Linked DNA regions of Caenorhabditis elegans. The protein of the gene in region 1 purifies or fractionates together with the protein of each later gene. This does not show direct contact. Each region holds a gene or a part of one and is shown in the gene's direction. Other genes may lie near its edges. The genes, in order: cgh-1, ain-1 and car-1.

What was found.
Region 2: the proteins of cgh-1 (region 1) and ain-1 purify together in Caenorhabditis elegans (affinity purification with western blotting, with the first as the bait; one study listed by BioGRID). This does not show direct contact.
Region 3: the proteins of cgh-1 (region 1) and car-1 purify together in Caenorhabditis elegans (affinity purification with mass spectrometry; 3 studies listed by BioGRID, with this or other methods). This does not show direct contact.

Annotation. Positions count from the first base shown.
Region 1 is NC_003281.10:7,496,136-7,499,888, reverse strand, and holds the start of cgh-1 (ATP-dependent RNA helicase cgh-1), read left to right. Parts: upstream 1-2,056; 5' UTR 2,057-2,094; coding exon 2,095-2,199; intron 2,200-2,246; coding exon 2,247-2,750; intron 2,751-2,795; coding exon 2,796-3,213; intron 3,214-3,234; exon of another isoform or gene 3,235-3,312; intron 3,313-3,361; coding exon 3,362-3,627; 3' UTR 3,628-3,753. Other genes in the region: sap-140 (U2 snRNP-associated SURP motif-containing protein), read right to left, coding at 1-32, 95-127; C07H6.9 (Serpentine Receptor, class Z), read left to right, coding at 442-480, 524-614, 659-801, 844-1,056. UniProt on the Caenorhabditis elegans protein: Probable RNA helicase required for oocyte and sperm function. Also required to prevent the physiological germline apoptosis mechanism killing essentially all developing oocytes.
Region 2 is NC_003284.9:16,611,569-16,615,321, forward strand, and holds the start of ain-1 (ALG-1 INteracting protein), read left to right. Parts: upstream 1-1,882; 5' UTR 1,883-1,924; coding exon 1,925-2,105; intron 2,106-2,148; coding exon 2,149-2,301; intron 2,302-2,358; coding exon 2,359-3,177; intron 3,178-3,302; coding exon 3,303-3,394; intron 3,395-3,438; coding exon 3,439-3,753.
Region 3 is NC_003279.8:12,902,475-12,906,227, forward strand, and holds car-1 (Protein LSM14 homolog car-1), read left to right. Parts: upstream 1-1,995; 5' UTR 1,996-2,001; coding exon 2,002-2,247; intron 2,248-2,297; coding exon 2,298-2,487; intron 2,488-2,539; coding exon 2,540-2,983; intron 2,984-3,030; coding exon 3,031-3,173; 3' UTR 3,174-3,566; downstream 3,567-3,753. Other genes in the region: coa-5 (Cytochrome c oxidase assembly factor 5), read right to left, coding at 685-975. UniProt on the Caenorhabditis elegans protein: Transcriptional regulator. Involved in modulating embryonic expression of ATP-dependent chaperone cdc-48.1. May play a role in mRNA gene silencing, and RNA granule (P-body) assembly.

The DNA of each region.
Region 1 (3,753 bases):
TCGTTCAACTTCGCCTCCTCATCGTCAGATGTCTAAACTTTTAAATCGGTATTATTAAAGCTTGTGACACTTAGAAGTTGACAAGGAAACTTACTTTCTTTCTCTTTTTGGACCATTCCATACTCATATTGCGGGGAAATTTCCCGGGAAATAATTTAAAATGTTAGATTTTTCCCAGTAAATGGACCAGGCACTGACAATGCGTCAGCAATTATGATGAAACGCGCCAGCAACCACTTTGGCGTGTTTTCGGATCTCGGCGCGACTTTTAAGTAAGGAAACATTTTATTTTTGAAAAAAGAAAGAACAAAATAATAACGTAATTAATTTCAATTCATGAGTTACACGCAATTTCATATTATTATTAACATTTAACGTTCAAATCATATAATTCATAAATAAAATAACAAACCATTTTTAAATAATTTGCATATAAGAATTATGAGTCTATCTCCTCCGCCGTTATTCAATCTCGATCAAGTTTGTTATCTGTAATGTTTCTGCCTTTATAAATAATTTTAAGGGATCTTGGAGTCCTATTGCTATAAACATGATTTGCCTAGAAGCTTTACAAACTTGGTACCAATCGGTTTATCTTGGATCTGCTTATTTCTGTAAGAAAATAAAAAGTGGAAAAATATAACAACTAAAATTGCAGATATGAAGACAGAGTCGTTCGTGTATCTGTCACTTGTTTACATTCAATTTTCGTTATTTTTTCTAACAAGCATTTTGATAGTTATATATTTTATATCATACAATGGAGTCCAACGTCTCAATGTTATTACGATTACCACAAATGTAACGTTTCTTTTGACTCCTGTTTTCAATTAAGATTTTCAGTTTATAAAAATGGTGGTGGATGTGTCCTGTTTCGGAACAATTTATTTTGTTGGCAGCTCGAAAATATTGCCTATTGTGGATTTGGCGTATTTCAATTGTGTTATCCAACCGTGTCGGTTTCTTATATTCATCGTATACTGCCATCACGGAGCTAGATGTGACGCATATCACAGATTTCTGGTTGAATATGAGGAGTTCGAATTAGAAAAATGAGGAAATCGAAAAACGATAAAGTAATCACATTACTCATTACATTTAGAACTAATTATCCTTTAATAAATTTTCATCGACGCTGGTATATTCTTTTTAATATTTAATTCATTATTATTCTCAAGAAATTTCGCATCAAATCTTCGTAAAGTTTTTCATTGAAATCTAATTTTGAATTACCGCCATTTTGTTTCGCGCGTTGGCTGAGTATTCAACTTTTGTGTGTTGAATGTACGCAGCGAAATGCCTCTCACTCGTCGCTCGCAGCAGCTTGGCCTACTCGTCCCGTCGCTCTCACAGTTTTTCTCTCCACACTCTCGTTTCTTCGCACATTTCCTTCATTTTGGCCGTTGTTCTCCACGTGTTTCTGTGTTTCTTCTCTAGATTTCTAAGAGTTTTAGGCGACGATGGCAGCTCCAATCTGTTATCGACACTTTCTTGATAGATTCAGTCGTTTTCCGAAGATTTTTATCAGTTTCGTAGCTCAGAAACCTGTTTTAAAAAACGATAACAAAAAGTGTTCTTTCAAACTTTCGAATGTAAAATATAAACTTTTTCGCGTTTATTGTTTGGAGAGTCGCTTAAAAACTGGAAGGTATCAATAAAAAATTGTCGTGATTCTCTGACCTTTTGAAATTGTTTCTTGTCAATTGCCACGTCGTCAAACATCGGCTACCCTGTTGGCTAGATACTCCAGCAACCCAAAGAGTGTCTGTGCGTCTCTATGCGCCGCCGACCACTCGCTTGCTTTTTCTAACCGTCATTGATCGTGTGTATACGAGCGCGAGACAGACACCGGTTGTCTCGCATAAATATTATCTCAGTGTTATTTAGCGTTCCTCCTAATTGTTCTGAAAATGCTTGAATGATTTTTCCATGACTAACAAAATTGTAGTAAACTCGATAGGTATCATTTTTTCGCATTAAAAACTTATCTTCCTTCATTAACAACTTCTCAACTTACACCATTAACAACTTCTCAACTTTAATCTCGATTTTACAGATCTCATCAGGAAATCAAACCTACTACGACATCGGAAAATGAGTGGAGCGGAGCAACAACAGATCGTTCCTGCCAACAATGGCGACGAAAACTGGAAGGCTGGTCTCAATCTTCCAGCAAAAGACAGAAGATTCAAAACTGCTGTGAGTTTGCAAAGCCTATATGACTTTGTGACCATTTCATTTTTCAGGATGTCACTGATACGAAGGGAGTCGAGTTTGAGGATTTCTGCCTTGGACGCGATCTTCTCATGGGGATTTTTGAGAAAGGATGGGAAAAACCGAGTCCTATTCAAGAAGCATCCATCGGAGTCGCTCTCACTGGTCAAGATATTCTCGCAAGAGCTAAGAACGGAACAGGAAAAACCGGAGCTTATTGTATCCCTGTTATCGAGAAGATCCAGCCAGCCCTCAAAGCTATTCAAGCCATGGTCATTGTCCCAACTCGTGAATTGGCTCTCCAAACTTCACAGATCTGCGTGGAGCTCTCCAAACACATTCAGCTCAAAGTTATGGTCACTACCGGAGGAACTGATCTCCGTGATGATATCATGCGTCTAAACGGAACGGTTCACTTGGTCATCGCCACCCCAGGAAGAATTCTCGATCTTATGGAGAAAGGAGTCGCCAAAATGGAACATTGTAAAACACTTGTTCTTGACGAGGCTGACAAACTTCTTAGTCAAGACTTCCAGGTAAAAAAATTAACATTTGAATAAGATAACAATTCTCGTTTACAGGGAATTCTCGACCGCCTCATCAACTTCCTCCCAAAGGAGCGTCAAGTTATGCTTTATTCTGCCACTTTCCCTAACACCGTCACTTCGTTCATGCAGAAGCACATGCACAAGCCGTATGAGATCAACCTCATGGAGGAGCTTACTCTTCTTGGTGTCACCCAATACTATGCCTTTGTTCAAGAGAAGCAAAAGGTCCACTGTTTGAATACGTTGTTCCGAAAACTTCAAATCAACCAGTCGATCATCTTCTGTAACTCTACTCAACGTGTTGAGCTTCTCGCTAAGAAAATCACGGAAATCGGTTACTCGTGCTACTACATTCATTCCAAGATGGCTCAGAATCACAGAAACCGTGTCTTCCATGACTTCCGTCAAGGAAACTGCAGAAACTTGGTTTGCTCCGATCTTCTCACCCGTGGTAAGTTTGACTAAATAATTTGCGCGATGAGGATTGATAACACATACACACACTCTGAAGTTATGTGAAGAGATAATTGAAGAACGGATATCTGAGCGCCATTTTTCTTATTTTAAAGTGTAGTTCATGCATAATTGTAATTTTTCAGGTATCGATATCCAGGCTGTCAATGTTGTCATCAACTTTGACTTCCCAAGAAACGCCGAGACTTACCTTCACAGAATCGGTCGCTCTGGACGTTTCGGTCACCTCGGAGTTGCAATCAACCTTATCACCTACGAAGACCGTCACACCCTTCGCCGTATCGAGCAGGAGCTTCGTACTCGCATTGAGCCCATCCCGAAAACGGTTGACCCGAAGCTGTATGTCGCTGACCAGCAGCTCGTCGATGCCGCCGATGAGACCACTGCTTAAACACTAGTTCTCATATCCCCAAACCTCCAAAACACACTGGTCGCCTACGTTTTTTTTTTCCATTCTAGTGATCTCGTCCAGATTGTGTATGTTCTCTATTTTCCTTTAAATGCACAGTTTGTGCTA
Region 2 (3,753 bases), on another chromosome or scaffold:
CCACACTACCAACACTTCCCGCTTGACCCTTTCTCTCTCCCGGAGCCTAATAACACCTGCTTTTTCTACTGGTCGTTTTTTCTTTTATTAATTGCCTCTTTTCTCTCAGCGTGTTTGTTTTTTGTCTTCTATTTTCAATTTTGAAAAAGAAAAACATTTTTCTCGTTATTCAAAAGTTTCTCTTCATGTTTTCTTCTCCGTGTGAAAAACAGTATAGATTTCTCATTCCCAATTCTCTTCCACCTCACCGGGTCACGTGAACTTGATGCGAAGGAAAACAAACCCTCAACTGTCTAGCACTCACAGTTTCTGGTTCCCGAGCGGTGGCGGCACACAAGGTCGAAAAAATTCAGTCACCAAAAATTGATAGCCTCGGCTGTTTTGGCGTGTCAAATTAATGAACACTGTCTTAAGAATTTCAACATAATGTTTCATCTTTTTCCTTTTTAGATTTATCATCTCCTGTTTGAATTTAAATATTTCACAAAGTACAAAAAGTTACGATATAGCCAACTTTTCATAACAGAGAAAAACCACTGTAATGTCAAATTTTCAGAAAATTGGTGAATTTCTGTTAAATATCCTTAGTATCCTCAATTAACAAGTTCCTAATCAATTTCTCTCCGAATCTATTTCCAACCAAAAAGTGTTTCAAGTTTGGCATGTCGCCCGTCCCGCTGTTCATCCCGTCCATCTTCGCTCGTGTGTCCCGTCCATCCCACATATCGAAAATATATTGGTAGTGTGTGTATGTGTGTGTGTGTGTAGAACTGGCCACACAGACGTATATACTGTTAGATACGGGGAGAACCACCAGAGATGAAGAGAAATGGTGGTGAGTGGTCGAGCGCACGTCGATGAGTGTCTATGAGTGCGGTGGTGAGCGCATGAGCGCGTGAGTGTGCGGCGGTGCGGTTTCTCCGTCTCTACACGACATGAAACCCTCTCAGTTGACCCTACGTTCCTTCTTCTCTCTGCACACACACACACATACACACAGCGGTCTCATTGATTCGTGAAAGAAAAAGAGAGAGCGAGAGTGCGGGAGGGTGGTCTGATGAGTGAAGCGTGAGCGGACAGACTCACGGGGGTTAGTAGTAGTGAAGCGAGGAAAAAGTGGAAAGACGGGGAGTTTCCGCTGCGTCTCTCGCCCGGCAAGCAATTTGATGTTGGCCTCTCACTATGAGATGGAGAGAGACAGACAGGGAGAGAAACGCGCAATGTCGTCGCCGGTCGCCTTCTCGCCCTCGATCGGGGTAGCCAGCAGCAGCAGCAGCAGCAGCAGCAGCAGCCCAGCCAACCAGCCTGCGAAGCACCAGACCCCTCTTCTAACTAGTCTCTCTCCTTCTTCTGCTTTTTCCTTCTCCTTTCTCTCTTTCCTGCTTTTTCCTTAACCCCTTGTCCGCCTAGTTCCCACCTAGCCAGCAGCGCCCCGGGGGCTTTTGGGGCCTTTCTTTACAACAGTAGTTATGTAGGTTGTACAAAACTTATTAAATTTTTTAATGTTTACCTTTTTACAGGAGAACGCTTTTTACACTGAACTTGTTTCTATCTAGCAGTATTGCATTAATTAATAGTTTATGCTTTCTAACTTTGACAATGATCTTGTAAAACATAATTTTGCTCAATACTGTTTGAATGGCTTTAGATCATTTTTTATAAAATTTCTATTAAGCTGATACTCCTGGTCCGTAAAATTTTCAATTGCCTTCATGAAATCCTGCTCGTTACGCGGCTAATGTTGTTCGACCAATGTACCCATGTCGAAATCAAATAGTGTTATCAATCAGTCTATCAGTTTCTTTGTTTTCTCTTGTCATCTATCATTTACCATCACGCTCTCGCCAAAACTCATCAATCAATAATATTCCATTTTTTACAGATAAGCTCAAACTCTGATCGCCAGAGCGCGATCAACGCAACCATGGAGAGTCTCGCAAAAAACTTCAACAACATTTCAATAGACGACGCAGCGTGGCATCCTAACGACCAACAGCCTGTATGGGGAAACAACGGTCTCCAGCAGCAACGTGTCTGGGCTCCGCCGGTACCGCAGCCACAGTTCCCAAACAGATCGCCATGGCAACAGGAATCGAACGATATCGGTAATTGGCAATTGTAATCTTGATGACGTAAAAATTGTTTCAGAGCCAAATGTCAACGAAGCCCTTGTTGGACTCAGTGGCACAGGCTCATCAAGTCAAAGCCAATGGGGTGGCATTCAGAATACAGATTATGAGAAACAGATATGGGGTGATCCACCATTGAGCGATGTGCAGTATCCACTTCAACCACATGCCTGTAAGTTCAAATTTGATTAGACGTTATATTTATAAATTTAAATCTATAAATTTTCAGCGTTCGGTGAATTGAATAGTCTTGGAGGTCAATCTGCGCCTTGGTCCATAGGGTCTCAGCCAGCGCACCCGGTTTGGAGTAACGGAGGAATGGGAAAAGAATCTGATGACTTTTGGAAACAGCAACAGCCTCAACAGCATCAGCAATACCCGATGCCATTGCTGCAGGGAGCCTGGAATACAGGCATGAGACATGGACCACCAGGACAAGGACAACGTAGTGGGCCAATGATGCAGCAGCAGCAAGACTACCAAGGGGGATGGGGTGGCCCGAATAACATGGGTGGCAACAAGCAGATGAACCGTCCATGGGGGCAGGACAGCAATCGTGGAATGTCAGGCATGCCGCCCCGAAACGGTCGTCCAAACCACAACCAGGGACGGTACTCTGGCAATATGGGTGGCGGTGTTGACGTTTCAGTTCCACCACCGATGGATATGCACATGGGAGGTGGTATGGGTGGAATGAGAAATATGGGTGTTGCTCCGAATAGTGGACACGGATCATGGAAGAATAACAATGCTGGTGGAGGTCAAGGAGGCCACGGCGGTCAAAGAAACTACAACAACCGTGGTGGAATGGGACACAGTGGAAGCCAGAGTGGCGGAGGATCCAATATGTGGAACAGCACCGGAAACAATGGAAGTGGTGGAAGCATGCAGCAGTTCATGGGAGGAGACCAGCAGTACAACAATCCATTCCCAATCGGCGGAGCTGCTGATGATCTCACACTGACTGTTTGGCATGATCCAAACGGAGAACTCAAGAAATGGCAGAGAGATACTGGAGTGTCCTATTGGGGAGACCCGGAGAAGCAAAGTGAGTTTTTTAAAAAAATATTTCCTTGGTGGGAATTGAATGAAATTCTCCATTGTTTCATGAAAAACTGAAATTAGTCTAAATGTGTTGCTATAGAAATCACCTATTATCGACTATTTTTGCAGCTGACCGTACCATTAGCTTGTGGATTGTTGGCGAAGGTGCCGATGAGGATTTGGAAACTGCATTGAACCGATGTCCAGTACCACAGAAAAAGGTAATATTGTTGTCTTAGGTATTAAATTGAACTTCATGTCTCAGGGAGAGGACAATCAACGTTTCCCATTCCCAGTACCAGCGAAACGGCCAATTGTTGTGACCGGATGGGGAGAGCTTCCAGAAAATGATCCAAACAATCCGTCCAAGAGCGAGTCGACGATATTCGACGAGAACAACAGATGGAACGACTTGACAACTGAGCAAAATCCATGGTATCTTCCGAATCAGCACACTTCAACATTCTCCAGTGACAACACCACTGGATCGTGGGTGCAGGGAGGAACAATTCCACTCAATGAGCCCGGAACCAATCAACACGTGGCTGTGGCGGAGATGCTGAAGAACGCTGTCGACAAG
Region 3 (3,753 bases), on another chromosome or scaffold:
ATTTTCCGCTTCAAAAATCCCACCCTTTCCCCCTCCCCGCCTGTGATACAAAAATCGATTCATTTCTTTCTTTCCCCGGATTTCTTTTTTTTTGTTCCAGATTTTATTTATTCTTCCGCTGCTACTGGGTAGGCAACATTTTTATTTCCAACTTTTTTCGACTTTTTTTTGTTCCAATTCCGAGTGTTTCCCTGATTATCGATCGAAATCCCCCAGATATACGATTTATTGCAATTTCTTTAATTTTTTCTGCGTTCCTTCTCTTCTCCCCGTCACTGCTTTCGTATTATTATTACTGTTCCTATACATGATGAAATAAATATACACGTTTGATTGGGTTCTTTGCTTCCTTTTTTGGAAGTTTTTAGAACAACTGGCAAGAAAATGGCGAAGAATGTGCGAAATTTCGGATTCAAGTGGGCGAAAATTCGAAAATTTCGAATTTTTTGACAAAAGTCGAGAGTTCCGGAGTCATATGGCAGCCAATTAGGCGAAAAGTTCAATATTTTGCGGGAAATTCCCAAAAGCCGAATCCACAGGCCCAGCTTAGCGATACGATGATAATTCTCAAGTTTTTAACACATTCTTCCTGGAAAATAGATTTATACACGTATTATATTATAGAGAAAGCTGAAATCCTAAAAAGAAAGTAACAAAAAATATGAAAATTTTCGAATTATTCGCTCAAAGATCGCCCTTCCTTCCTCGGAATCTCGATCTCATGTCCACCAGTGATCGCTTGCAGTCGGTGAAATTTTGGAGAACGGCGAAACATTTGTCGGGTACACTTCCGTCGCCACGTGCATCGATGCATTCCTTCGCAGATCGAGCTTGAACTTGCACACAATGCGAGTTTTTGATGCATTTTTTGAGTGCTTGACGTAGACGATCACACGATACACCGGTCTTCTTTATCTCGTTGAATTCGTCTTCTTCAAATTGTTGGGATTGGGAGTGTGCGGTGATTCCGGCCATTTTTCGCGGGAGTTTGCCTGAAAAATCGAATAAAAATTGATTTTAGAAGATATAACTAGTTTTAAACAATAAAATTTAAGTAAATTTCAGTCTTTTTCACAATTTTATCACAAAAAAACGAGAAAATTCAATAAATTCGCACAAAAATTGATTTTATTTCATTTAAATTTTGAAAAATAATTAGTGTCGATTTACGGAGTTGGCACGGTGCCAAGATTTGCAGAATCGTGGCGAGACCCACAAAAACCTATAGCAAAACATGCGCCTTTAAATGGGATTGGGGTGCAGCGCCATTTTAGGATTTTTGTTGTTTTCTTCGCAAAATTGTTGATTTTTCGTTATTTTTTTTGATTTTCTAGGGAAATTTTCAATGTTTTATTGCTAAAATAATTATTTTTGACGTGATGAACTTAAAGTTACAGCTTAGAATCATTAAATTTTGCGAATTTTGATAGAAACTTCCCATTTTTTGTGATTTTCAAGTTTGAGCTTACCTTTTATTTCTTCTGCCGATTTTTAGCTGTTTGAGAAGTTCAATTAGTGAGTTTTCGGTTCTTAATACTCAAAATTATTTTTACTGCAATGGTACGGCCGTGGCTGCGCAGTACCTCATAAAATAAGTGGGCAGACGGATGCAATCACGCTCCATCGGCGCAGAATCGATAACGATGACGGCTTCGCATTTTACTTTTAAACTTTTGCAGCTTTTCCCACTTCTTATAAGAAATTAGGGCTTTAAACTGTCAGTGTTATCCTTGTATATTATCGTTGATGTTCCTCTAAGACTTATTGACACCTCCGTATCGATTTTAGGCCAATTAGGTTAATTTCTAAGGTTTCTCGACACAATTGAGATCGCTTCGACATTTTTCGTAGTATTCCGCAAGATTTTGTTTTAGGATTGATAGAAGCGCACATTTACACGGTTTCAGTTGTTAATTTATTCTCCTATTCCCGACAATATTGCTCTTCGTCTTTCTTCAAACGTTGTGAAACTTAAATTATATTACATTTTTGCAGGTAATAATGTCGAATCAAACACCGTACATCGGAAGCAAGATTAGTCTGATCTCCAAGCTCGACATCCGTTACGAGGGAATCCTCTACACCGTCGACACCAACGACTCTACCATCGCGTTGGCCAAGGTTCGCTCGTTCGGAACCGAGAAGCGTCCAACTGCTAATCCGGTCGCCGCTCGTGATGATGTCTACGAGTACATCATCTTCAAGGCCAGCGACATCAAGGATTTGATCGTTTGTGATACTCCGAAGGCGAGTTGCCGGATAATCGAGCTTCATTGATCTAAATAATGTCTTTTCAGATGGCCAACATTGGAGGAGGGCTTCCATACGATCCAGCCATCATCTCTGTCTCCTCGAGATCAGCCCCAGCAAGTGACGGAGCTCCAGCTGCCTCTGCAGGTTCTTCCAGAGCCGGAACGCCATCCCGTAACAGTCCGTTAGGCCAAATCATCCAAAATCAACGTCCAGGACGTGGAGGTTATCAGCAAAGTCAGTTTTATTTTCTTTCAAATCAACTCTGGATTTATGATCATGTTTTCAGACTTCCAAGCTAACCGTGGATACAACAACTACCGCGGAGGATTCGCTGGCGGATACAACAACCAAAGAGGGCACAACAATTATGGAGTTCCTCGAGTTAATCACCGCGAAAAGCTGAAGTTCGAATCGGACTTTGACTTCGAGAAGGCCAATGAGAAGTTCCAAGAAGTTCTCGTCGACAACCTTGAGAAGCTCAACATTGAGGATAAGGCCGAGCCAGAAGTTGAGGAGAAGAAGGATGCTGCCTTCTACGACAAGAAGACTTCATTCTTTGACAACATCAGCTGTGAATCACTGGAGAAAGCCGAAGGAAAGACTGGACGGCCAGATTGGAAGAAGGAGAGAGAAACGAATCAGGAGACGTTCGGACACAACGCAGTGCGTTCGTTGAACTACCGTCGTGGATTCGGAGGACGAGGACGTGGTGGAAACCGCGGATATGGAGGTATAGTTCCACTTTAGAAGTTACAACGTCTTATGCTCAATTTTCAGGTTACAACAACGGATACCAGCATCAACACCAGCACCGTGGAGGATACAATGGAGGTTATCGTCAGAACAACGGTGGATACCGTCGTGGTGGATATGCTCCACGTGACAACCAAGGCAATACTGCCGCAGCTGCCGAACAATAAGTTCGAATTCCCTGAAATTGTTTTCTCCCCACATCCCCATACCCCGATATTAGCCGTTTGTTAATTTATTATGTAAGTTTATCCATTCTCCCCCCCCCCCCATCAATGATTACCCTTGTCTCTTCTCAACTATTGGCGTGTTATAAGAAACCCGTTAATTATTTAGAAATCTCGTACGATTCAATGCGGGCCTTCTGTTATTTTGTAATAATTATTGCGCACCCACCCACCGACACACATCTCCCATCCAAAAAATTCCCAATGTTTTTTCTTCCCCCACTACAATAGTGATTGGACCCTTCCCCCGTTTTTTTAAGTTCTAGCTTGTGAATTTTAAAGCATGTCGTTCTGTTGTCCTCAGTTTGTCATTTTAATAAAATTGCAGTGACTAAACTGTCAAATCGTTTGCACCTGCTCTCCTATCATCCCACACCCCGCCTTTTATGATTGTCTTCTAGGAGATATGAAATTGTTTTTAAGATCTTCTCTTAGATTTGCTATAATATTGCAAACCCTTCATTCTTAGGTAGACAAGCCCTGAGAAATTGTGATTTCCCCGTATAAACTTTTTGTTTTGTAT